Linked DNA regions of Arabidopsis thaliana. The protein of the gene in region 1 interacts with the protein of each later gene in a pairwise test. Each region holds a gene or a part of one and is shown in the gene's direction. Other genes may lie near its edges. The genes, in order: MYBR1, MORF3, CDSP32 and AT5G12190.

Evidence for each region.
Region 2: the proteins of MYBR1 (region 1) and MORF3 interact in binary tests that used the Arabidopsis thaliana proteins (3 or more experiments, as listed by UniProt).
Region 3: the proteins of MYBR1 (region 1) and CDSP32 interact in binary tests that used the Arabidopsis thaliana proteins (3 or more experiments, as listed by UniProt).
Region 4: the proteins of MYBR1 (region 1) and AT5G12190 interact in binary tests that used the Arabidopsis thaliana proteins (3 or more experiments, as listed by UniProt).

Annotation. Positions count from the first base shown.
Region 1 is NC_003076.8:26,849,792-26,856,506, forward strand, and holds MYBR1 (myb domain protein r1), read left to right. Parts: upstream 1-4,230; 5' UTR 4,231-4,317; coding exon 4,318-5,235; 3' UTR 5,236-5,521; coding exon of another isoform or gene 5,522-6,127; 3' UTR 6,128-6,215; downstream 6,216-6,715. Other genes in the region: CYP81G1 (cytochrome P450, family 81, subfamily G, polypeptide 1), read right to left, coding at 5,522-6,127, 6,216-6,715. UniProt on the Arabidopsis thaliana protein: Transcription factor. Represses the expression of protein phosphatases 2C in response to abscisic acid (ABA). Confers resistance to abiotic stresses dependent of ABA. In response to auxin, activates the transcription of the auxin-responsive gene IAA19.
Region 2 is NC_003074.8:2,142,282-2,148,578, reverse strand, and holds MORF3 (plastid developmental protein DAG), read left to right. Parts: upstream 1-2,771; 5' UTR 2,772-2,835; coding exon 2,836-3,215; coding exon of another isoform or gene 3,216-3,219; intron 3,220-3,314; coding exon 3,315-3,412; intron 3,413-3,666; coding exon 3,667-3,732; intron 3,733-3,824; coding exon 3,825-4,015; 3' UTR 4,016-4,195; downstream 4,196-6,297. Other genes in the region: IBR3 (acyl-CoA dehydrogenase-like protein), read right to left, coding at 10-127, 209-307, 423-542, 632-709, 790-975, 1,091-1,222, 1,335-1,475, 1,688-1,822 and 1 more; AT3G06780 (glycine-rich protein), read right to left, coding at 4,340-4,945. UniProt on the Arabidopsis thaliana protein: Involved in organellar RNA editing. Required for the processing of RNA editing sites in mitochondria.
Region 3 is NC_003070.9:28,544,876-28,551,095, reverse strand, and holds CDSP32 (chloroplastic drought-induced stress protein of 32 kD), read left to right. Parts: upstream 1-1,509; 5' UTR 1,510-1,747; coding exon 1,748-2,246; intron 2,247-2,623; coding exon 2,624-3,033; 3' UTR 3,034-3,310; downstream 3,311-6,220. Other genes in the region: SMT3 (sterol methyltransferase 3), read left to right, coding at 1-504; AT1G76070 (uncharacterized protein), read right to left, coding at 3,661-4,479; AT1G76065 (LYR family of Fe/S cluster biogenesis protein), read left to right, coding at 5,790-5,892, 6,058-6,197. UniProt on the Arabidopsis thaliana protein: Probable thiol-disulfide oxidoreductase involved in resistance to oxidative stress. May participate in the reduction of alkyl hydroperoxides derived from oxidative stress by acting as a physiological electron donor to the BAS1 peroxiredoxin.
Region 4 is NC_003076.8:3,938,298-3,943,879, reverse strand, and holds AT5G12190 (RNA-binding (RRM/RBD/RNP motifs) family protein), read left to right. Parts: upstream 1-2,443; 5' UTR 2,444-2,774; coding exon 2,775-3,149; 3' UTR 3,150-3,399; downstream 3,400-5,582. Other genes in the region: PYD2 (pyrimidine 2), read left to right, coding at 1-153, 263-474, 606-726, 917-1,004, 1,085-1,163, 1,272-1,359, 1,448-1,488, 1,563-1,615 and 2 more; CPK17 (calcium-dependent protein kinase 17), read right to left, coding at 4,557-4,752, 4,854-4,981, 5,093-5,260, 5,343-5,458, 5,536-5,582. UniProt on the Arabidopsis thaliana protein: May be necessary for the splicing of pre-mRNA.

The DNA of each region.
Region 1 (6,715 bases):
CACGTTAGTTAGAAATTATTTATTGGGCTTAGTTTCTTTTTGGGCTGATCTTTTGAAGCCCATTTATTGTATAATCTCTACGCTATTGTGTGTTACTGTGTTTCCTATGATATTTAGTAGCTGATAAGTGATAACTGATATTCTCTGTATGAATTTCAATGAATAGTTTTCTGATTCTAGATGTTTTAAGAAGTTGAAAAGGACTTGTTGAAATAAATTATGGGGGAAAAGGACAAATGACCAACTAACAATCAGATAGGCCATTCCAAAATTGGGCTCCACCACTTTGACGACAAAAGCCCATTTATAGGGCGGCTCTACTTCGGCCTTTCATCAACCACACATACACTCCTAATGATTATTATTCAATATATTTTTAGTAGGTACTGTGATGTTGTTAACTTTCAGTTAGATAGACCCGCCGAAACTTTTTCTTATAATATTACATATAATTTCGCTCTGTTTATAATCATTTTATTCCTCTACTTAAACAGAAGCTTCTTTCATTCTTTGTGTTCATTGAACTTGTTTACTATACGGAAAGTTTCTGCAATTCTATAAAAATATATATAAAATAATGAACTGTTTATAGAATTGTACTTACTTTTTTGGTTTTAGTGAAGCAAATTTCTATTTAATCACACATTTACTGCACTCTAAAAAGGTGAAAACCTAAAATGTAATCGTTCACACATTATCTTCATGTTCAAATCCGATGGAATATTTATCGATCCAAGAGTTTCAATTAATAATTTGCAACATAATCTTCTTATGCCTTTCTTATTTAGCAAGTGTGATGGTCGATCCATTGATCATTGTTCATGAAAGTTGATGATGTGGTCGATATTTTCTCCACATGAGAAGTATTGTTTTGAAAAGAATATTTATCATATACTACTATTATTGACAGAAAAAACAGTGTAGAGAGTATTGTTAATATTAATTAAGTCAAAAAAAGCCGGCGGCCAATGTGGGGAAAAAGCTTCACACACTTTCATGTAGTAATCTGTCCTTTTGTTTCTAGCTTTATATTGCCCTCGCTTTTGCCCGTTCATGACTCTTATGATGCTTGGTCGTAAAACGTGATTCCATGCATTATCTTATAGAGTTATAGTATATAGATATTATCAAAATGATCAAGTTTTTAATATCCCAATTCTACATTTGAAATTTTTTAACATTTGATTTACAAAGTTGACGATAAATTTCAGATTTGAAGACGAAATAAAGCAAATCTTTAAATAAGTTTTTTTGGAAATATCATATGATATCAGAATTCTAAAAAATCCAACAAATCGGTAAGTTCTAACATATAAGATGAAATAGTACTTGGTAGGTACAAAAATTAAACGTTTTGATTCCACACATACAAAAAGAAGAAGAAAAGAGTAACTTTTTATTTGTCGTCCAACAAAGAATCGCTTTTCAATCAAGCTTTAGTGAAGGTGTTAGGTGTGTGTGGCTTAAGCATATACATCAGAAGACCAACAAAATTTATCTTAAGCACGAAGGTCACCGAACGTAGTCGTTTCAACGATGACCGTACCATTAATGCAGATTTGTAGTGCGTGTGGATATATACATGCACACGTGTGGAAGGTGAAGGTACAAAATGTGCATACGGCTTAAGGATAAGCGAGAACACGGAAGGATATTTTGTAGCAGCATCTTTCTATTCTATGCAACTAAGTAAACGAACCACATGCACCTGTTTTCTTTAATTTATTGCCTTTGTGATTTTTTTTGTTGACACCATTATGTTTTTTTTTTGTTTGTAAACCATATAATTAAGTAGTTTCCCTAAACCGTTAACAATTAATACATTCTATAATGTCGAATAAAAAGAAAAGGTAATGCAAGTGGAAGAATATCTAAACACGTTAGTAGACCAATAGCAAAATTACAGTTGCTAGCTTACACGACAGGAGGAACAAGACAAGAGTAGTTTTGCCTTTGTTAAGAATAATTAGCATGACACGTCACTCAAACTTACACGTGGAAGGATAATTCATGGACACGTGGACATACTGGAAAACAGCTGTTAAATCTTTGTCCGGTTATCGTAAGTTTTTGAATTTTAAAACTGTATTTAGCCGAATTAGGTCATGTTCCACGTGCCTTTTTTTCTGCACCACTATCTCTTTTCCACAAGAGGGGCAATGATTTTTTGGTCCAAAAATATACAGTTGTAATCTTGGACGGTGTGTCTTAAATAAAATAATATATGGACGGTGTTTTCTTTAATGTTTTCTATGTTCATATGAACTTCTCGGTGGTCGTTTCAATCACAAAATTTATCATACCAGAAAACAAAATATTTTCAATAATTGAGGCTGTACGTTGTGTATTTTAGGTTTTTTCTTTAGATTGTTGCATGTTATATTTTCAGTTTACTATATGTTGTGATGATTATTCGTTACAAATGTTTTCAAAATGTCATACTATAGTAGTCATTTATAATAGATATGAAAAATGATCACAGTTGATTTGTTTTTTTGGTGGACTACGAATAAAATCGTTTTGGTAATTGTCTAATCTTCGAGTGAGTAAGACACCGTCAATCAACCATCAATATCATCAATCAAAACCATTATTGATCTATTTTTTGGTTTAAGGAAAAGTTGGTAATTGTAAAACGACTTCAATAAAATATTTAAAACAAGGAGACCAAAACCGACACTCGGACCATTGATAATAGAAACAACGAGCAAGGTTATAGTAGTATAGTTGAGTCTCACAAACGAACACGTAAACCCAATATAATAACTACGCAAGGTTACATCTAGAGCTTATTGTTCCCATCACAATAACCTCTTGGCATTATTAATTATCAAATTCACTCAAAGTATTAAACTCCTGATGTCTAATAGATTATCAACAAATCGACAAAAATGTAGATATATAACTCAAAAGGTATAAATTCAAATGTTTGGTGGGGTTACGTAAAAACTTGAATTATTAAGAACTAACAATACTATAGTTTAATTAAAAGGAGAATTATGAACCGTTAGAGGGAAGGTTAGGGAGCGTGCATGAACATTACCTGACGTTTACCGACCTGATTCGTACCGTACATACCAGAACAAAGAGCTTTTAAAAACCCGCGTTTTACGACCGACACGTGGCAGTTCTTAAATGGATGACAGTTAGTGTTTTATTAATTGTTTTTGTTTGATTAACAAGTTTTATACAGCCTGGCTGTTTCTATTCGTATTTTCGATATAATAATTAAATATATTTCAGGAAACAAAGGCAGTGATGATTTTGCGTTCCAATTCGGCAACCTATGTTGTCGTTTTCTGCCACGTCAAAACCTCCTATCTTTTGTTAACCGCACATTTTACATCACGTTTCCTAAACCGAACATTAATATCTAACCATTTTTATACATTCACTTAATATCGCTCACACGGTTCTTTGTCAATCCCATTTTAATCCAGCTTCGTTTCAAATTATTGAGGTTTAGATCTTTTTATGATCATAGAGCAACTATATATAGATTTAGTATTGTCAATTTGTCATGCACTGTTATATGCATGAATTAGGTGTTTGTGTGTTGTTTAGTAATTAATTATACCTTCTTAGTGACAATTTGTTTTCTTTATTAGTAATGAAATTTGTGGTCAATAATTTTGATTAGTTTTCAACCCGGAAAATCGGTTATATGTAAAGTAGATATTATCATAAAGTTTTTATGTGAAGTGCTATACAGCCTGGCTTCGCTATTCTAAAGTCAAGACTAAACATAAAAATAAATAAAAACTGTCCTTACCCAAACCTAACCGTTATCATCTTTTTATTTTTTTCTTCAGATATTTCTTTTTCATTTTTATTTCCCCTATAAAAAAATTTAAATTCACCTCAAATTGTGCGAATATTATCATGGCTTTGCTAGTTGGGTTTCGTGATTTTGTCTCTTTAACTTCTTACTTTCGCCACGCGCTTAAATGGCGCGTGTACTCACAAACTCATACTTTGAGACTCGACTGATCTCCACGCTCAACTATACGAAATTGCTGATCTTGAACAAAATTATTACGAAAACGACAAAAAAGACACATCGACGTAGTCAGGCTTCGACGCGTGTCCACTTACAGCTGTACCGCAAACTTTGAAAAACCGCTTGCGTGGAAGAAGCGTTGCCCATGACTTCTCCACCGTCTTAACCGGTTTCCGGTTATCCTCCTCTCTTAAATCTCTGTATAAATAATTTTGTCCTCTCTTTAGTTTCTCGAACTTGTTTTTGGTTCATCTCTCAAAACCAAAATCACTAAAGAGGAGAAGATTGCTAAAGTTTGATAAAACATTCCAAAATCAATGGCTGATAGGATCAAAGGTCCATGGAGTCCTGAAGAAGACGAGCAGCTTCGTAGGCTTGTTGTTAAATACGGTCCAAGAAACTGGACAGTGATTAGCAAATCTATTCCCGGTAGATCGGGGAAATCGTGTCGTTTACGGTGGTGCAACCAGCTTTCGCCGCAAGTTGAGCATCGGCCGTTTTCGGCTGAGGAAGACGAGACGATCGCACGTGCTCACGCTCAGTTCGGTAATAAATGGGCGACGATTGCTCGTCTTCTCAACGGTCGTACGGACAACGCCGTGAAGAATCACTGGAACTCGACGCTCAAGAGGAAATGCGGCGGTTACGACCATCGGGGTTACGATGGTTCGGAGGATCATCGGCCGGTTAAGAGATCGGTGAGTGCGGGATCTCCACCTGTTGTTACTGGGCTTTACATGAGCCCAGGAAGCCCAACTGGATCTGATGTCAGTGATTCAAGTACTATCCCGATATTACCTTCCGTTGAGCTTTTCAAGCCTGTGCCTAGACCTGGTGCTGTTGTGCTACCGCTTCCTATCGAAACGTCGTCTTCTTCCGATGATCCACCGACTTCGTTAAGCTTGTCACTTCCTGGTGCCGACGTAAGCGAGGAGTCAAACCGTAGCCACGAGTCAACGAATATCAACAACACCACTTCGAGCCGCCACAACCACAACAATACGGTGTCGTTTATGCCGTTTAGTGGTGGGTTTAGAGGTGCGATTGAGGAAATGGGGAAGTCTTTTCCCGGTAACGGAGGCGAGTTTATGGCGGTGGTGCAAGAGATGATTAAGGCGGAAGTGAGGAGTTACATGACGGAGATGCAACGGAACAATGGTGGCGGATTCGTCGGAGGATTCATTGATAATGGCATGATTCCGATGAGTCAAATTGGAGTTGGGAGAATCGAGTAGACAAAGTGAGATTATTAGGAAACTGTTTAAATTGGAGAAGAAGAAAAATGCTCTGTTTTTTTCTCCTTTGGATTAGGCTTAAGAATTTTGGGTTTTAAGGAAATGTATAGAGGAAATCGAGTGAACAAAGCTCGAGAGCTGGGGACGTAGTGACGAAGACGAAGATCAAATTTCTCTTAAGCTATTCAGGAAAATAAAATAAATTTTTATTTATAACTACGCTTAATGATGATAATAGATCAAATTAATACACAAAGTATCACAAAGTGAAAGATAAATGATCCAGTTAAAGAACAAGTTTGTCGAGGATTGGTAAAGACTTGCATTTGGCAACTAAAGGCACAGATTTGGGCATGGTAAGACCCTTTCCTTCCGACATGTCAACGGCAACGTCATTGTCTCTCTCCCAATCGAAACACTGGATCAATGAGCCTAAAGCTAAGCTCAGTACTAGTTGGGCCAGGCCCATACCAGGACATGCTCTCCTACCGATTCCGAAAGGCAGAAACTTACCACGATGGGTCTCTGATTCAAACCTCTCTGGTTTGAAAGTTTCTGGGTCATCCCATACATTTGGGTCTCTCTGAATAGCCCACGCATTGATAAATAGCCAGGTGCGACGTGGAATGTCAAATCCAGCGACTTCACAGTCAGTGGATGAAGCGTGTGGGACAAGTAAGGGCGCCGCCGGAAACAAACGAAGAGTCTCAGAGATCACATTGTTGAGATAGGGACACTTGCCAGTATCTGATTCCTCAAACACACGCCCTTCTTTCGAAACCTCGTTTAGTTCCGTTTTGAGTTTCCTTAAAACTTCCGGATGATTTAGAAGGTTAGCCATAGCCCACTCCAACGTCACTGCGGTTGTGTCCGTTCCAGCAAGCAACATCACCTGCAATGAATCCTTTGAATCTTTGATGAATCAATCTTGATCACTCCTATTAACGATTCAAAATTATAGGAATTAAAAACTCATGTACCTGTACGAGCCCTTTGATGATATCATCAGTGTAACATTCAGGTTCTGATTCTTGAAGAGACAGCAAACGAGTGATCATCGTTTTCTCAAGCTCTGCTTTTCCTCTGTTTTTCCGATGCTCGTCGACTAATTTCTGCATAAACTTGTCCAATTTCGAAGCGAGTTTCTTTGCTCTCTTTCTGTATCCATCAAGATCAAAGAGCTTCAGAGTCGGGAGAAAATCTCCGACATAATTAACACCAGCGAAATCGAACACCTCCCTAATCAGCTTCCGAACTTCCTTAGTTTCCTCGTCTTCCTCTCGTTTTCCAGCGACCATGCTCATTAGGATGTTATACGTAAGCCCATAAAGAAACGGCTGGAGTTTCAATCTGACACTGCCTCCTGATGTTACCAGTTCCACGTTGATCTTCCGAATCATAGCTCTCACTTCGTCTCTCCGTATATCCGAAAAGTCTCTGAGACGAGCGGTGGACAAGATATCTACGGCGCAGAAACGGC
Region 2 (6,297 bases), on another chromosome or scaffold:
GTCGATTACCAGATGGAGGGTGTTCTGGAAGAACATTTTCACGTGCAATATAACCCAAGGCAGACTCTACAAGCTCATTAGCTTGAACCCCTGTATTTCGCGCTCTTTCACCGGCAGAAGCATTCCCCTGCATGATCAACACAATGTCAATGGCTCTACAACTGCATAATAAAGAATCTTAGAATTCAAAAATATGCCCGGGGAATACCATTAACCATCTACTGTACACCCCTGTGTAGATTGAAGCAGCCCGAAATAAGGAGAACGCTACGTAGAACTTCCAGTTTGCAGCAGGCCATGGTTTTCCCTAAAGTTCATTTGCCAATATGTCACTACAACAGAAATTGAGAAAATATAGGCAATGTACAAGGAACACCTGACTTGATTCCTTTTAAAGACTACATGTTGTTGCAGGACAATACCGATGCAGAACAGTATTCTAAGAGAAATTCTGGCATCGAAAGCATTCCTTCTGGAAGCCCAGTAGTTTCAAAACCTTCACTAACATGCTCCTTATCGAGCTGAACATTCACAATGTAATGCTGCCAACACAAATGAACTGTATATCAGAGCAGGAAGCAAAGAAAACTGCTTTATGAGTACAATACAACAAACAAGAATAGGTTATTACCATGCAGCTGTATGCAACATCACACATTTGGTTCCCAAGCGTGGACAATTCCCAGTCAATTATTCCAATAACTCGATCCTACAGTTTAAGATATTTTCAGTTAAGTCTCCGAGACTATCCAAGGATCAGAAAACAAAAGATCTTGAAAGTATTAAGACCTCAGAAGGATGAAAAACGAGATTGTCAATGCGAAAGTCTCCATGGACAAGGCCTGATGTTGCTCCAGTTGAATCTTCCGCGGGGATGTTTTTGCGTAACCAATCAACAAGCTCAAACATCTTTGGATTCCTTTCAGGTTTACCTTCACTTGTTGAAGCCAAATATTGTTTGAACCACCTATCTATCTGAAATGGAGGTATCCAAAAGAAAAAACTTTAGCAAGAGCATATAAGCATTAAGAGAACATCAAACTAGTGAGTAGTGATTTGGAAATTCACCAGCCCCAAATAAAGAACAAACCTGTCTTTTGCAGTAATTGCCTCGCCGACCATATTTCTCAAGACCAATGGCATCCACATCAGCAGAGTGAAGAGATGCCAAGGCTTTGGCGGTTGCACGATAGATCGCATTTCTCCTTTCAGGTGCTACATTCTAAATCAAAACCGATGAAACACACACAAATTTACACCTTTCGTTTACAATGAGTCACATCTCAAGCTAAAAAAACCGTACATACACATTCACATAACAGAGAATATCTTACCGGCAACTTTGGATCAATGAAAATACGTCCTTCCATAAACTCCATAATGTAAAAAGCAGTCCCAATGACAGCAGGGTCAGTGCATAAGCAGAAGACTTTAGGAACAGGAACCTGTGTATGTTCACCTAAAGCCCGAAGCACCTACATAAACCAACCACCATCAAAGTATTAAGCAAAAAAAGCATCTACCTTTAGTTGATACCGTATCTCTTATAAGCAGCATCACAAAAAGTTACAATGATTCTGCATTTCAAAACGGTACTAGAAACAACAAAATTTCATCTTCTTCAAAAATCGAGTATGAACAGTTACAATGAATTTTACAGAGGTAAAGATTATTAATTGATTGATACCTGAAACTCTCGATCAACAGCATGAGCAGATTGAAGAAGCTTGCCAGGAGGCTTCTTCCTCAAAACGTATCGTTTCAAGGAACTCCCTGAGCCAACCTCTATCAGAAACGTTGGATTCGACTGCCCATGTCCGAACTGTATGTAAACCAAACCAAAACAAAACACAGTCAGATAAAAGTTTCTTTCTTACCGGAGAAAAAACCTCGGCGATTGGAAAACATACCTGTGAGACTTTGAATTGGGAAGGGTTGGTCGGAAAGCCAGAGACGTTGTCGGCGGCAAAACGAAACAAGGCATCGTGATCGAAACGGTGAGCTGATTGGATACGTGTCACAAGATCGCCCGTGCTGCTTCCCATGATGTTCCTTCACTCTCCTCTATCTCGCTCTGCTCCTCAGAGATTCATCAACAAGAATAGCTCTCTAAAACACAAATACACGCATTCATACCAACAATTCCATTTACGGAAAGTCGCATAACCTTTCTTTTGGATAATTTTCTTTTTACTTTTGACCTTACAGCAATTTCAGAAATGTTTATCTACTTTTCTTATTTTTGGAGAGATAATTCTATGTTTTCTTTTTTTATAAATAGTAAATACAGTAACCATTTTGATTTTGATAATCATCGTTATTATCGTCATTGTGATTTTATATGCATCCAAAAAAAGCCAAAGATAATTACTAATTACTAACCATATATAGGTTGGAAAAGTTATCCATGAATTAACTTGATGGACATTTTGCTAACTCAAATCAAAATTTTAGATTAGGTGATTTGACTTAGGACGTCATATTCACATTAAGAAAGCTAATACAAAATGAATACGTTTTATAGCTAACGAGGACGAAATTTTCTTTCTGAAAACACTTAAGAATGAACAAACAATTTGACAAGCGATAATTGAAACATTTTTTTAACACTGAAAGTGTTTCAATTAGGAGTGTTGAAGTATTTGACAAGAAGATTTAAAGTATTTTTCTGTTGGGAAACTTTTAACTACTAAACTAAGGAATTTAATGTAGAGAAATTTTTTAATAGCCCATCTAAAAAGTATAAATCAAAGGCCCACTAAGCCCATATAGTTTCTCAAAGCTTCTGCAAAGAGAAGGACCGAAGAAGAACAGAAGCCGAAACCCTCACCGGCGATGGCTCTTATCAGCACACGGCGAACATTATCGACACTCCTAAACAAAACCCTCTCTTCCTCTACTTCATATTCTTCTTCATTTCCTACGCTCTCTTCTCGTTCTCGATTCGCCATGCCTCTAATTGAAAAGGTTTCCTCTTCCCGAACCAGCCTGGGCCCGTGTTACATCTCGACCCGACCCAAGACATCCGGGTCCGGATACTCGCCGCTGAATGATCCTTCGCCGAATTGGAGCAACCGTCCGCCGAAGGAGACGATTCTTCTTGATGGGTGCGATTATGAGCACTGGCTCATCGTCATGGAGTTCACTGATCCTAAACCTACTGAAGAAGAGATGATCAATTCTTATGTCAAAACCTTAACTTCCGTCCTTGGCTGGCAAGTTCCTTTTCATTTGATTTTGACTCTCAAATGTTTTCTTGTGCATTTGGGGATTGACGGATTTGCATTTTGTGGGTAATAATGGTTAAACTATAGTGAGGAAGAGGCCAAGAAGAAGATTTACTCTGTTTGTACTTCGACCTACACTGGCTTTGGTGCTTTGATCTCTGAAGAGCTCTCTTGCAAAGTCAAAGGTATCAACTTCTCCATATTTGCAATTAGGTTTTTAAGCCTTTTTTGCTCTGACATAGCTTTTCTAGTTGTTTACTTATGATGTTGAGATTTATCGTAAAAGGCTTTCTCTGTTTGGTACTGCTCTGTTCAACAGCTAGGAGGAAACTTCTCTTGATCTTTGTTTTATCGCAGTTATTGTCTGTCTCTAGTACTATAAAATGAGAACATATTTTACTGTTTGAGAAATCTGATCTAGAGTTGTGTGATTCATTAGCATTGCCTGGTGTTCTCTGGGTGCTGCCGGATTCCTATCTCGATGTACCAAACAAAGACTACGGAGGTGTGTAACGTTTGTAGATTTTGTCTGAATGATTGGGTACTGAGATATGGTTCTTAATACTGATACCATCTGTCTTTGGCTCTCATGTTCAGGTGACTTGTACGTTGAAGGAAAGGTCATACCCAGACCACAGTACAGGTTCACGGAACAGCGTCATACTAGACCCCGTCCTAGGCCAAGGTATGATAGGCGCCGTGAGACAATGCAGGTTGAGAGGAGAGAGCCATCCATGGGTCTTCATTCTCCAGTAAATCCGGGAGAGTTCAACAAGCCCAGTGCTTAATATTAAACATGAACAATGCATTATGTAATGGATGGAGTTTATTAGGATTATGGTATTTACATGCTTGTCTTAAACACTCATGTGAGAGACTTTTCAGTTTTTATCCACTTAATCAAACAAATCAATCATCATTCATGTCTCTAATGATGACTAAACACTACTCTAAACAGAACAAATTATAAAAATCTAATGTGAACTTGCGAAGGAGAAATTAAATAAATATGTACAATGTAATATATATACACACGAGAGATCATATGATGTAATTGGAACCGAGATTAAGAATACTTTTAACCAGGAATCATCACCACGACCACGAATTTGTCAGCATACCGGAGATAATGCAATGTTCAACTTCTCCCTTTCACCGTCGGTCACGATCCTCACTATCCTCTTGAACGCAAAGTGCACACAATTAGACAACGCGATCCAGCAAATCACTTCATACACAAATTCCATCGCTGGATCTGACCAAGACGAAAACGAAGACCCATCCCAATTATCCCTCCCGAAACCACCGCCGCCGCCGCCGTAGTTCCATCCCTTTCCGCCTCCATCGTTTCCTCCGCCTCCAAATCCAAATGGACCGTCGCTACCACCGAAATCACCTTCTAACAGAAAACGACCAAAATCTCCTGCGTCATCTCCATCTCCACCAAACGAAACTCGCCTGGTTCGTCGCTTTTTACGGATCCGGCGAATTGTCTTATAAGAGCTAGATCTGACCGGTGGAGGAGCAATTGCATCGACGGGGAAAATAATCGCCGATGCTTGAACGATTCCTCCACCGGGAGATTGATGATCAACAACGGAATCGGCGAAAGAAATGTGATTGGCCAAATCCAACCTTTGAAGAAGAGATTTCCCAAACGCGATACCTTGCTTAGCCGTGCAAACTGTGACTGTATCTGCGATCAAAGAGAACTCCATGATGATCTACAAATCCGACGACGACGACGACCTTGTTCGAATTCTCTTTTTTCCCTAAAATCCACGAAATAGTTTTGGATTAGGGATTTTTACAACATTGCCGGCGAATTTGGGTAATGACGGGAAATAAATCAGGAAGCTGATTCGGATCCGAAGGAGGCGGATAAATTGTACACGTAACTGATTTGCGCGTTGAATAGAGAAGCCACGTGTCTTGCAGTATTCACACGTGAGTCGCACGCAAGAAGGGTCCATTAATACGTGAAAGCCCAAAGTTATGGGTTGGGCTATATAATTCATTGAAGAGTTTTCGTATCACATTTCTGAAAATATACGGGTTCTATTCATAAATATAAGGAAATATGTGTCAAAAAAGCAATATTGTGGGAGCAGAAGATGTGCTTGTTCATGTGATCATTTCTCAAGGAAATTTTTCTACATGGAGTAAATCGAGAGATTATAACAACGTCGATTTAAATTATATGTGATTTCTTAGAAAGAAATCGATGGCATTTCATATGTTTAAATGTTCTTACGAGGTTGTTTGGTATGCCTTCTCTGAAATTCACACCAAAAAAAAAATGAAGTAAAATTTATAGCATAAATGGCTAAACATTTATCGTCGGTCCATAACCTAATCCTTCTGCAGATTCATCATCGACAATTTTTATGACAAATCTCACGTGCTCACTGACATTTGTTTTTTCAGACTTTAAGAGCTTCCAAACTTTGTTTTTTCATACATTCGTTAAATATGTTTCAGAAATAAAAGTTCAGGAAGTAATTGACATTTTTTATTGATAATCTAGACGTTAGCATTCCCATGTGATTATTACTTTCGGGTGACCAATTACAACCGCTATGTTTGACTTAATACTGATTTTGAGCAGTAATGAATGAATTAGGTTTCGAATATATTACTGAAATTTGCTTGGCTTCGTTACAAGAAGTCAATTACAAGTAAAACTTTGTAGTTCAAATATTAATTTCCATGACATAATTTAAAGTACTAAAGTGTTTTTGAGTTTTTCCTTATAGATCAACGCGCATGTAATACATTTGGTACATACATACTTAGCTTATGTCCAAAGCCAAACTACTGTTTTTGTTGTCTCAAGTTATAGTCAAACATCAAACACCAGAAAACAAATCACGGAATCCGATCGGAATCCAATTTTCAAAGCAAAGCTAGATATATTTATAATGTTGTTACATATTTTGTCTCTAGACAAATACATACTCCTATACAATTAGACTTCCGAGGTTTTGGATTCAATCTATGCAAAATATTGTGCTAAAAAAACAATATAAAATTCTCTCTGCTTCAATATTTCAACTTTCATGTAAAAAAT
Region 3 (6,220 bases), on another chromosome or scaffold:
GACGGAGCTTACTCGATCGAAGCTACGTGTCACGCTCCTAAGCTCGAAGAAGTATACTCGGAGATCTTCAGAGTGATGAAACCAGGATCTTTGTTCGTGTCCTACGAATGGGTCACCACTGAAAAATACAGAGACGATGACGAAGAACACAAGGACGTGATTCAAGGGATCGAGAGAGGAGACGCACTTCCTGGACTAAGAAGCTACGCTGATATAGCCGTGACGGCGAAGAAAGTTGGGTTTGAGGTAGTGAAGGAGAAAGATTTGGCTAAACCACCGTCTAAACCGTGGTGGAACCGGTTAAAGATGGGAAGGATTGCTTATTGGAGAAACCATGTTGTGGTTGTGATTCTTTCTGCTATTGGGGTTGCTCCTAAAGGAACTGTTGATGTTCATAAGATGTTGTTTAAGACTGCTGATTATTTGACCAGAGGTGGTGAGACTGGAATCTTCTCTCCGATGCATATGATTCTCTGTAGAAAACCAGAGAAAGCTTCTGAATGAATGATTGAGAATCTTCTTCCTTGTTCTCGTTTTTCTTCTTCTTTCTTTCTAAGTTCATGTTTTGCCCCTTAAGAATCTCTTTGTCGTCGTATTAATGTTATCACTTTGTTGTTTATTGTATTTTTTTTTTTCAATTTGATTTGTTTAAATTGATGATGGATCACTGGAAATTAGTTTTTCGCTCTTCTTAAATAGTTTCTGAAAGAATTAGCCGGGAAATTCTATTGGAGTGATCCTTTACCTTTTTAAAATTTTGTAGAGTTTACAAGTCTCTGTTTAGTTTTAATTTCTAAGATCAAACTCGGAATAAACCGGATTAGCACGTCTATAGAGTTGCATAAACTTTTAGTATCATCAATGAGGGTAGTTTGGTAAGTCCTTAGGTGTCACATTGTGTCTGTAGTAGTGAGTCGGGAGTGGTCGTGTGGGATTTTGTGGGCTGTCCGATATGCATATGTTATTGTCGTCAACTGTCTGATATATTAATCTATGTATCTTTTAAAGATTTGATTTTGATTTATTTTAGGCTTATGGTTTGTCGCATTGCGGTAGTGGGTAGCAGCGTGGTCGCACGAACTCCGGCTTACCTTAGAAAACGATATTTTATTTAGTTATTTAGTTTTTTTTTTTCCAATTTGTTTTGTGCATTACTAAAAAGATTGTGTCATTTGTGTGTAAAAGTTTACTAAAACACTGGGTCATTTCTATAGTGGGCTTTTATAATGATGGGCTTAAGGCCAATTTTTATTGGTTTACCTCACTTCCAGTTCCACCGGGAGTGGATATATGCTTATATTCGTACGTGACATCAACAATAATACGCGTATACATGTGTAAGTCAATGGACAATTTGGGTCGAAGCTGAGAAAATTGTCCAAACTATGAGAGCTGACGCAATCTTTTGTTTTCTTTTGGCCGATACATTTTCCGCTTACCAGATGGAAAAGAAACCACAATGTCGAATTTATCCAACCGGTTCAATTAGTCTTACTTGGATGCTGGTGGAATTTTCCAGAATGACAACAACTTGAACAAAATAAACTTGAATTGCTTTTAGAAACAGCAATCTCACCAAGTTCACATATTCCTTTTATATTCCCACGAAAAAAATCTAATCAACAGTGAACACAATCCACACAAGTTAAACAAGTGGACATAAAAGTCTTGGACCCATTTTAAAACATCTATCCACATTAAATCATTCACTGATCTCTAACCAATCCCACACACACTACCACAAACAATGGCCACCGTCGCTAACTTCTTAGCCAAACCAATCTCCACCGTAGTCCCACGGCCATCCTCCGCCGTTGCTTCGACCTCCTCCTTCGTATTCTTTAACCATAAAACTAATCCTCTGTTCCGGAGGAAAAACCTCCCGAAAAGATTATTCTCCGCCGTGAAAATAAAGGCTGGAGCGGCGTCTCCGGGAAAGGTGGGTACACCACCGGCGAATGACGAGAAGGTACAAAAGATTCACAGCGGAGAGGAATTCGACGTAGCGTTGAAAAATGCGAAGAGCAAACTCGTGGTTGCAGAGTTTGCTACGAGTAAGAGTGATCAGAGTAATAAGATATATCCGTTTATGGTGGAACTGAGCAGGACCTGTAACGACGTCGTTTTCTTGCTCGTCATGGGTGATGAATCTGACAAGACCAGAGAACTCTGTCGGAGAGAGAAGATTGAGAAAGTTCCTCACTTTAGCTTTTATAAGAGCATGGAGAAAATACACGAGGAAGAAGGTAATTTCCGAATTATCTCTAATTTCTTTTCTCATTAAAAAGAGAACTCGATTTAATCTAGAAAGTAAATAAAACATATTGGAATTAGACTTTACTTAACCGATAATGCCCCTAATTTGTTGAACAAATTTCTCTAAGTAAGGAAACTTTTAACAGAATCTCTCAAAATCACCTAGATTTTAGCAGATTTTTGGACACACGTTTATTAGCTGATTACGATGTACGATGATTATTTCTTTAGGTACATAATATTGTTATTTTGATGTTGTAACACTAACCATTTAAAAGTATATGAAGCATAATAAGTCACCTAGTAAATTAGTAAAGTAATGTAGTGGCAAAGACGTAACTAAATTGAAAAGTTTGACCATCGACAGGTATTGAACCGGACCAGTTAATGGGAGACGTTCTATACTACGGAGACAACCACTCTGCGGTGGTGCAGCTGCACGGCCGACCTGACGTGGAAAAGCTGATCGACGAGAATCGCACTGGAGGCAAGCTGATCGTGCTTGACGTTGGTCTAAAACATTGTGGTCCTTGCGTTAAAGTGTATCCGACCGTGCTGAAACTGTCCCGGTCAATGTCCGAGACAGTCGTATTCGCTAGAATGAACGGTGACGAGAACGATAGTTGTATGGAGTTTCTCAAGGACATGAATGTTATCGAAGTTCCAACTTTCTTGTTCATTAGAGACGGCGAGATTCGTGGCCGTTATGTTGGTTCCGGTAAAGGAGAACTCATTGGAGAGATTCTTCGGTACTCAGGCGTTCGTGTCACTTATTAATTTGTATCAAAACTTTAATTTTATTACATCTCACTTCAAAAAAGAATGAGTTTTTGGTCTTTGTCTGTACCATCCGAAACCGGTTGATATGAAAGAAAAAAAACTCAAAATAGTGTGATTCTTGATTATTTGATTTTGCTTTTGTGTTCTAACTTTGAAGGCACGGAAACTTTGACGGATTTGAATATTTCCGTAAGGAAGAATGAGATGTTAATGATTTGTACCTACCCAATGAAGATATTGTATTATTCCCAATAAATATATACACATTATCATCATTTTGTATGTGATATTAATGGTTGATTGTGATTTACATTTAATATATGGACAATTTGGTGGTGGAAAGACATTGGTTGTTGTCATACTCTCTGTCACAGAAGGAAATACAAAAACTAATTTGTAATTGTAACTGTAAATATGTAGCGAGAAAGAGTTTTTTTTTTTTTTTTTTGGACGGAGCAAAATTGATATTCACAAAAGACTATTGAAGTGAACGATCATCATCCATCATCACAATATATCACATATATACACAAAACAAGAAAATCCAGACTCATTGTGAATGATGATCATTATACAATTTGAACTGCAGTAATTGATATAGTATACTGAAAGAAAGAAATTTAATCAAATGGTTTGAAGATGAAGTGGTTTTGGTGGATCCATGGTTCTTCTCTTCCACAAGTTAACTTCTTTCTTTGGTTTTAACCCTAAAGGAGCTGAAAAAGGGATTATTATGTCATCTTCATCCTCGTCATCATCGTATCTCAAGTAAGCTCCTCTGGTGTCGTCGTCAGAATAGTAACCACGGTGATGATCAGCGGGTGATTCTTCTTCATGTTTCATCTCAACCGCCCAATCAAAATCACCTAAAGCATCACGACTGCTAGCGAATTTCTTCATCTGACCTAACGAAGGCACCGCCGCGGTGGAAACCACCGTAACTGGATGTTCATCCGCGGCGGAGACGGCGGTAGGATGGGATTTTCTTGATGTGTTTCGTCCACTCGCCGGCGAGAACGAGAAGATACTCTTGATCTTCGAAAGACGACCTTTTTCATCTTCTTTTGTTAAAGACGACGTTGACGTTTTGGAGATTTTAGGAATCAGAGATGAAGGTGCTTTGTTCTTTTTACCGGTTGGGCATTTAGACTTACCAAGCTTGATCTGACCGATACAAGAGACTTTAGGTGAAGTAGGTTCGTCCCAAACAGCGTCGCTTTTGTTTCTTCTAACCCGAGCCGCGTTAGGTACCAAAGGAACCATAGGACCAGAGAAAAACATTTTGTTAGCCGCCGTGTAATTATGGTGGTTGTTGTGGTGGAGATCTCTTCCGGGACTAAACGGTGGAACTCGATGTCCAAACGACATCGCTTTAGGAAGCATCTTCAAAAGCTTGTTCTTGTTCTTAGGTTTTGAAGTTGAAGTATGATGCTTAATGTCCATCGCTGATCACAACAGCAAAATTCGCAGACAAGAACAGAGGATTCTTCGTTCTTTTTATGTTTGGGTCTAATATGATGTGAGAAGAAGGAAAAAGAGAGGAAATGAGTTTGAAAAAGTCAACGATGATGCCTGGATTGGAGGAGTTTTGGTCAAATGTGAGAGCTAAAAAGGAAGAAGAAAGACCTTTGTGTTTATACGGCCGACTTTATAAAATCAAAATGCGGAAGACATGTTTGTTTTTGTTTCAAGTTTCTTCTTTTTGTTACTACTACCTAAAAGCTAAACGGCACATTTTTTTATTTTCCAAAGATGATGATTAGTTAATTACTAATTTGACTTTAGTTTGTGCCTCAATAGTCCAAAAATCAAAATAGTATAACATTTCTTTAAGAAACGGTGGTGATATTTGGGACCTACATGCAAGCAAAATTCAGCCATATCGGAAGGAAGGTAGAAGTTAGAACTTATCAACGATGCATTGAACTAGTTGGAGCTTTATGAAATTTTACTTTTTTGTTAATTAGCATTTAAAGTTCTGTAATTGAAACACCTAAGAGAGAGAAAAAAAATACAATGTATTTCAATCGATAAACATACTTCTTCTTCATATACTTGCATGTTTGAATTCTGATAATAATATTAACACAAATCATTCAGTAACACGTTTTGGTAAATGATTGTCTTTTAATTATCGAAACTATATTTTAAATCCTACGTAGTCTATATTAAATTACTGAGACCTTGTCTAAATTATTGATATCTTGTGTTTACAATTTCGTGCTTCAAAGAAATTAAAAAAAAAAGGTAGAATATTAGTCAACCAAGGGACGAACAACTCTAGTAAACGATTTTAAATAAACGAAAATGGACCAAAAACAATTGAGAAATTGCGAAGCTGTACACTGAGAAAATCATATTATGGAAACACGATGCTAAACCACCTAATATTTATTCAAAGCTACCTAATTAATTTTGGTATCTGTTTGCTGTAAGTTAAACCACGATGGTTCGGATGGGCTTCCGTAATTAGGACCATCTAAAACAGAACTGTTATTAAAGATGGTTGGTAAACTATAATTTGATTTCAATTAACACCGATTACCGGTTTACACTTAAACCACATATTTTCATTAATTCTTCATCATGTCCTTCTCACGTGACTCTTTCCTTCTCCGATCTTTTTTCTTTTAACTCAGGACTCAGAGTCAGGAACTTCTCTCTTACCCTAGATTTCGATTTTGATTTCAGTTCTTTCTGAATCGATCCTTCTCTGGCCGTAAATTCTTAATTCAACGGTTGGTTGATAAATTATGGTTCAATTAGATCTGCAGAGCTTTATTCTCCGGGCTCGAGTGCTTAAACTTTACCGACAAGCATTGAAGATAGCTCACAGAGCTCCTGTTCATGTTAGAGGTTCGTGTCTTTCATGTCTCTTATTTTTCTATCTATGAGATTCGTCACATAGACAATAAATTTGCGTTCACCGTACATCCATTTGATTAAAAATCTCGAAATCTAGGGGTTTAGTAGATTTCGGAGGATAAACTTTGTTTGATTTTATGTGTTGATGTTTTGTAGGGGAACTGAAACAGACTGTTAGGCAAGAGATGGAAAAGAACAGAGACTGCAATGACAAACAAAAGATTCGGTATCTGATTAGTGAAGGTTTAGAGAGAATCAAAGGACTTGATGAGATGTTGGATATGCAGGGCCATTAACATTTTTTTTTTGTACTTCTTCT
Region 4 (5,582 bases), about 23 Mb from region 1:
TTGTTATACCTGTCAATGGGAATCTGGTGGCTGGTTTTGAAGCCTATGAAAACAAATCTAGAGAATCTTGTATGGATTACGGTTTTCATATGGCAATCACAAAGTGGGATGAAGGTGTTTCCAGGGACATGGAGATGTTGGTCAAGGAAAAGGGTAAATGTCTTGTCTTGTGACACATTGATGCCTCACAGTTTTGGTGTTTCTATCCCTTTAGTTTCCCTGCTAAGATGAAACTGAGTGCATATATCTCTAAATTTTGTAGGTATCAACTCTTTCAAGTTTTTCCTAGCGTATAAAGGATCTCTTATGGTAACTGATGACCTACTCCTAGAAGGACTTAAAAGATGCAAATCCCTCGGTGCCTTGGCCATGGTTCATGCTGAAAATGGAGATGCAGTATTCGAAGGACAGAAAAGAATGATTGAACTGGGCATTACAGGTCCAGAGGGTCATGCTCTTTCAAGGCCTCCTGTGGTAATTTGCGTCAAGCATTTTCCATTTTATTATACTGCCTCCTAGATTTTTTCTTTTCTCCTATATCTGCTCTTGCCTCTGTAAAGCTTTGTTGAAGCTACTAAAACAAGATCCTTGTTTGACAATGTCAGCTCGAGGGAGAGGCCACTGCTAGAGCAATTCGTTTGGCTCGTTTTATTAACACGCCTCTCTATGTTGTTCATGTGATGAGTGTTGATGCAATGGACGAGATTGCTAAAGCTCGAAAATCAGGTTTTCTGTTACAACTCATGTAGGACTAACCTTTTGCTTTTCTCATTGTATGGACATTATCCTGTTAGAAATCAATCTCCTATCCGAACATCCACTAGTGCAATAACATATGTGTAGAAAAGTACCTTTCAAATTTTTACTTAGTATTTGGCTTAATAAATATGAAAAGTTTTTTTGTTATGTATTTCAGGACAGAAGGTTATTGGAGAGCCTGTTGTGTCTGGATTAATCCTTGATGATCATTGGCTTTGGGATCCTGACTTCACAATTGCGTCCAAGTAATAAATCCTTCAGTTCTGTTAATCAAATGATTCCCATTTATTCTTTCAGATTTTCAAAGTTTTTCTCAATATTTCAGGTATGTCATGAGTCCACCTATCAGACCAGTAGGACATGGGAAAGCCCTACAAGATGCCCTTTCCACAGGAATCCTTCAGGTTTCTTTCCTCGCTGTGCATAAACTAGAGAATTGCATGACCTGTAGCATCAAAATGTTAAGATCTTCTAAACACCTTTTTCTCCTTTTATTGGGATAATCTCTGCAGCTTGTAGGAACTGATCACTGCACTTTCAATTCTACACAAAAAGCTCTAGGACTTGATGATTTCCGCAGAATACCTAATGGTGTTAATGGTAATAGCTGACTTGACTGGTTTCTTGCTTTCTCTGCTCACTGCCCCTGCTAACCTGTAAATACTTTTGAACTTGTCCATATGTTTAGGCCTTGAGGAACGGATGCACTTGATATGGGACACGATGGTGGTAAGTACTTGTGGAATAATAAATTCTTCTTTCTGTACAGAAGTTTTAATCGTTTTCTGTATATCCTAATCCAGGAGTCTGGCCAACTCTCAGCTACTGATTATGTTCGAATAACCAGCACTGAGTGGTATATATGCTCTTTCGAAGCTTCTTTTTAATGTTGAAAATTTGCTTTTTCCAATGAGCTTTTACTTGAAAGTTATGTGTTTGCATTTGAAATGACTTTAAGTTTGTCAGTGCTAGAATTTTCAACATATATCCACGGAAAGGAGCTATCCTTGCTGGCTCGGATGCAGATATTATCATATTGAATCCAAACTCAAGCTACGAGATTAGCTCAAAGTCTCATCATTCAAGATCAGACACAAACGTCTACGAGGGCAGAAGAGGAAAGGTAATGATACCCTTTTTACAAACAATTCGTCTTTACTGATTTGTATAATCTCTGAGCAATCATAACCTTTTATTTTATTGGGGACTTGATTGTTAAATCTCAGGGAAAAGTTGAAGTGACAATAGCAGGAGGACGAATTGTGTGGGAAAACGAGGAACTTAAAGTTGTTCCAAGAAGTGGCAAGTATATAGAGATGCCTCCTTTCAGTTACCTTTTCGATGGTATTGAGAAATCAGATGCTAATTATCTATCTTCTCTTCGAGCTCCAGTTAAGCGTGTCAGAACTGAAGCTACGTAAAGTGCAGGTATCTATCTGCATATCGTGATTCTGTAAGAACAATTGTACATAATTTGTATTAAAAGTATTGAAAGAGCGATTATGAATAATGTGCATGTAGTCTGGTTTTGAGAAAAAATAAAAGATTGTAAAATTTATCCGTGAGTTAATTAGTCTATGTTCTCTTTATCTCAAATCCTGTGTGTATTAGAAGAAAAAGAGGAGACATGCGAAAAGCTTCTTAGTTTAAACATTACTGTTTCCAATAATCAAGCTTTTGAGCTGGAGGCCGCACAGGTATATAAGGCTGCTTTTTTAGTAGGTTGATCAACACTGAAAGGCGTTCAGGTTTTTGCCATCAAACCAGAAATAGATATCGGTTTGGTAAATTACTTTTGGTTTTAATGGTTTACATAAAATCGTCAATCAAAATCCCCCAAGCCTGCATTCGGAAAGACGATTATACCCTTTAATTCTTCCACCCTATAAATACTCGCATCGCATCAATCGTAATCAGAACTATTAACTTTCATTTTCCGATAGAAGAACTTTTTTCACGGCGGCGATAACAAATCACCGGCTAATAAAGGAAGGAAAAGAAGAAGAAGAGAAGCTATGACAACAATCAGTCTTCGCAAGAGTAACACCAGACTCCCACCGGAGGTGAATCGCGTGCTCTACGTTCGTAACCTTCCCTTTAACATAACGAGCGAAGAGATGTACGATATCTTCGGCAAGTACGGCGCAATTCGCCAGATTCGAATCGGTTGCGACAAGGCGACGAAAGGTACTGCCTTCGTCGTTTACGAGGATATCTACGATGCCAAGAACGCCGTCGACCATCTCTCTGGCTTCAACGTCGCGAATCGGTACCTAATCGTGTTATACTACCAGCACGCGAAGATGAGCAAGAAGTTTGACCAGAAGAAGAGTGAAGATGAGATCACCAAGTTGCAGGAGAAGTATGGAGTCTCTACCAAAGATAAGTAATTGTCCTTGAATTCGATCTTCTTATGGTCGTTCTGTTACTGCTGCAATTTAGGGTTTTGAAATTCTGGGAGATGTGAAACTTTCTTTTATCTGTATGAATTTAGTGGAGTTCTTTATGTAAGGTTTGCTCTTTTGTCATTTACATCGACCAAGCAATGAAAAATACATCTTTTAATCCCAAATTAGCTATTGCTGTGACAATTTTTTTTGTGCTTTGATGCAATTTTCCGAGATTGGTGTTCAGTGTTTTGCTAGGAACTAAGTAAGAACGAAAAATCACTAACACATACAAGAGAATTGAAAAAGAAGAACTTAAGTACATTGAGAAAATATACATAATTCAACAGCTCTCCCAAATCCCCTTTCAAGTCTGTTAATATGCATTGTGGTTGCGATAAACGTTCCATTGTCTATATTGTTCCATTACCATCAGCCTCGACCTGTATGATTCGCAGAGCCGAACAAAATAAAGAAAAACAGAAAATAGTGTTAGTCTCCTTGCTGCTCGGCGTTGAAACTCTTGCAAGTACAAGAAGTACTCATAGCTTCCGTTAACTGCTGACTTCATTTTCTGACAACCTTGTACCTTTGCTTAGTAAGTCCCTGTCTTAACTCCTCGAGTGTAATTGTTCCACTGCTATCAGTGTCCATACCTTTAAACTTCAACCCCATGATCTCTTCCTCTGACAAGCAGTTGGTCGTTGTTTGGAATCAGAGTTGAGCATCTTTTTGTTTACAGTTTTATGATGCAGGGAGAGAGTATGGTGTGGTGTGTCAACCAGTTGGATTTTGATCAAATGAGGGGTACTATATTGAATGCACTTGCTGATGTTTATGTGGAAGATGGAATTATTTTCGCACTGCAGCCAAACATCAAGGTATAACTAATTTATCCTTCATTTTTTTGGTAGTCTGAATTCCATTTTTCTATGACTCTTTCTGGCTTTGCTCTTCATTTGATCTTTCTCTCTAATGAATCGAGTTCTTAAGCAGAACTTTTGAACAATAAATTGATATATATTGTCTTTAGCTACGATTCTTTTCCAAAGTGGTGCTCACTGTTTTGCTAGGAAATGAGAACGAATAATCACTAACACATACAAGAGAATTGAAAAAGTTTTTTTTTTTTTTTTTGAAGTACATTGAGAAACCCATGGCACTTTAAGCAGTAGTAGACAACTAGAAAAGAAAATGTACATTATATCAAACACCTCCCCCCAAATGCCCCAAATGATTTTGTTTTCCTTCTTGAGCCTTCTCCTCCCTTAAAGATCTCCTCCACTTTAGAATAATTTTCTTTGATATTTGCTTTGCCTTATTTCTCATTTTGAAAGGAAGATGAGTTTCTCGACCCCTGTGTGTAACTCTCTTTCTATCTCCTCTCTTCCTCTACTTCAACAATTGTGTTCATTTGAATGAAAGTTCACGCCGCTTCTTTGGGATTGGATCCGGGTTTCCTTTTCTCATCATTGCCACAAATTCATCATAGTTTATCCGACCATCATTGTCTCCATCAACCTCGGAAATGATCTCCTTAATGTCTCTGCCATCATTCATGCCAAACTCCCGTAGGGCTTGCTCTAGCTCTTCCATTGTGATATATCTGGGAACAGAGAGCGAGGTGGATTTTTGTTTCATAAGCTTCATATTCATGATTAAAGTCTGGAATCAGTTATATAACAAACTGTACTGTCAAGTACTTACCCACTGTTGTCTTTGTCAAAGTGTTGGAAGGCTGAGTAAAGATGTTCTTCTCTGTCAAGTCTGTTGATATGCATTGTGGCTGCGATAAACTCGCCATAGTCTATTGTTCCATTACCATCAGCATCAGCCTGTAGATACACAGAGCAAAAAAACACAAAATTAGTGGTGAGTCCCCTCCCTACTCTGTTGCTCGGCATTTGACTAAAGCTAAATCTCTTGCAAGTACAAGAAGGACTCACAGCTTCCATTAACTGCTGAACTTCATATTCTGACAACCTTGTACCTTGCTTAGCAAGTCCTTGTCTTAACTCCTCGAGTGTAATTGTTCCACTACTATCAGTATCCATACCTTTAAACATCTCCTTCAACCCCATGATCTCTTCCTCTGATAAGCAGCCTGCTATCACCTGTCCAATGGTTTCAGGTTTCTAGGTTAGGATACTCTACTGATAGTCATATTCTATTGGGTAAGGGATATATGATTGTTACCCGTAATGCAACTTTCTTGAAATTGTTCATTGCTTTGAATTGTTTGAGCCTGGACATCACCGCATTATCAAGAGGAACATCTGGTGCCTCTCCATCCTCCTTGATCCATGGATGGTCTTTACAAAGGAAGATAACATTAGAGATAATATATTGTTATGCTTTTACAGTTTTTATATATTTTGTAGATGCTTACTGAGAACTTGAGCAGCAGTTAGTCTTTGCTTTGGATCAGAGTTGAGC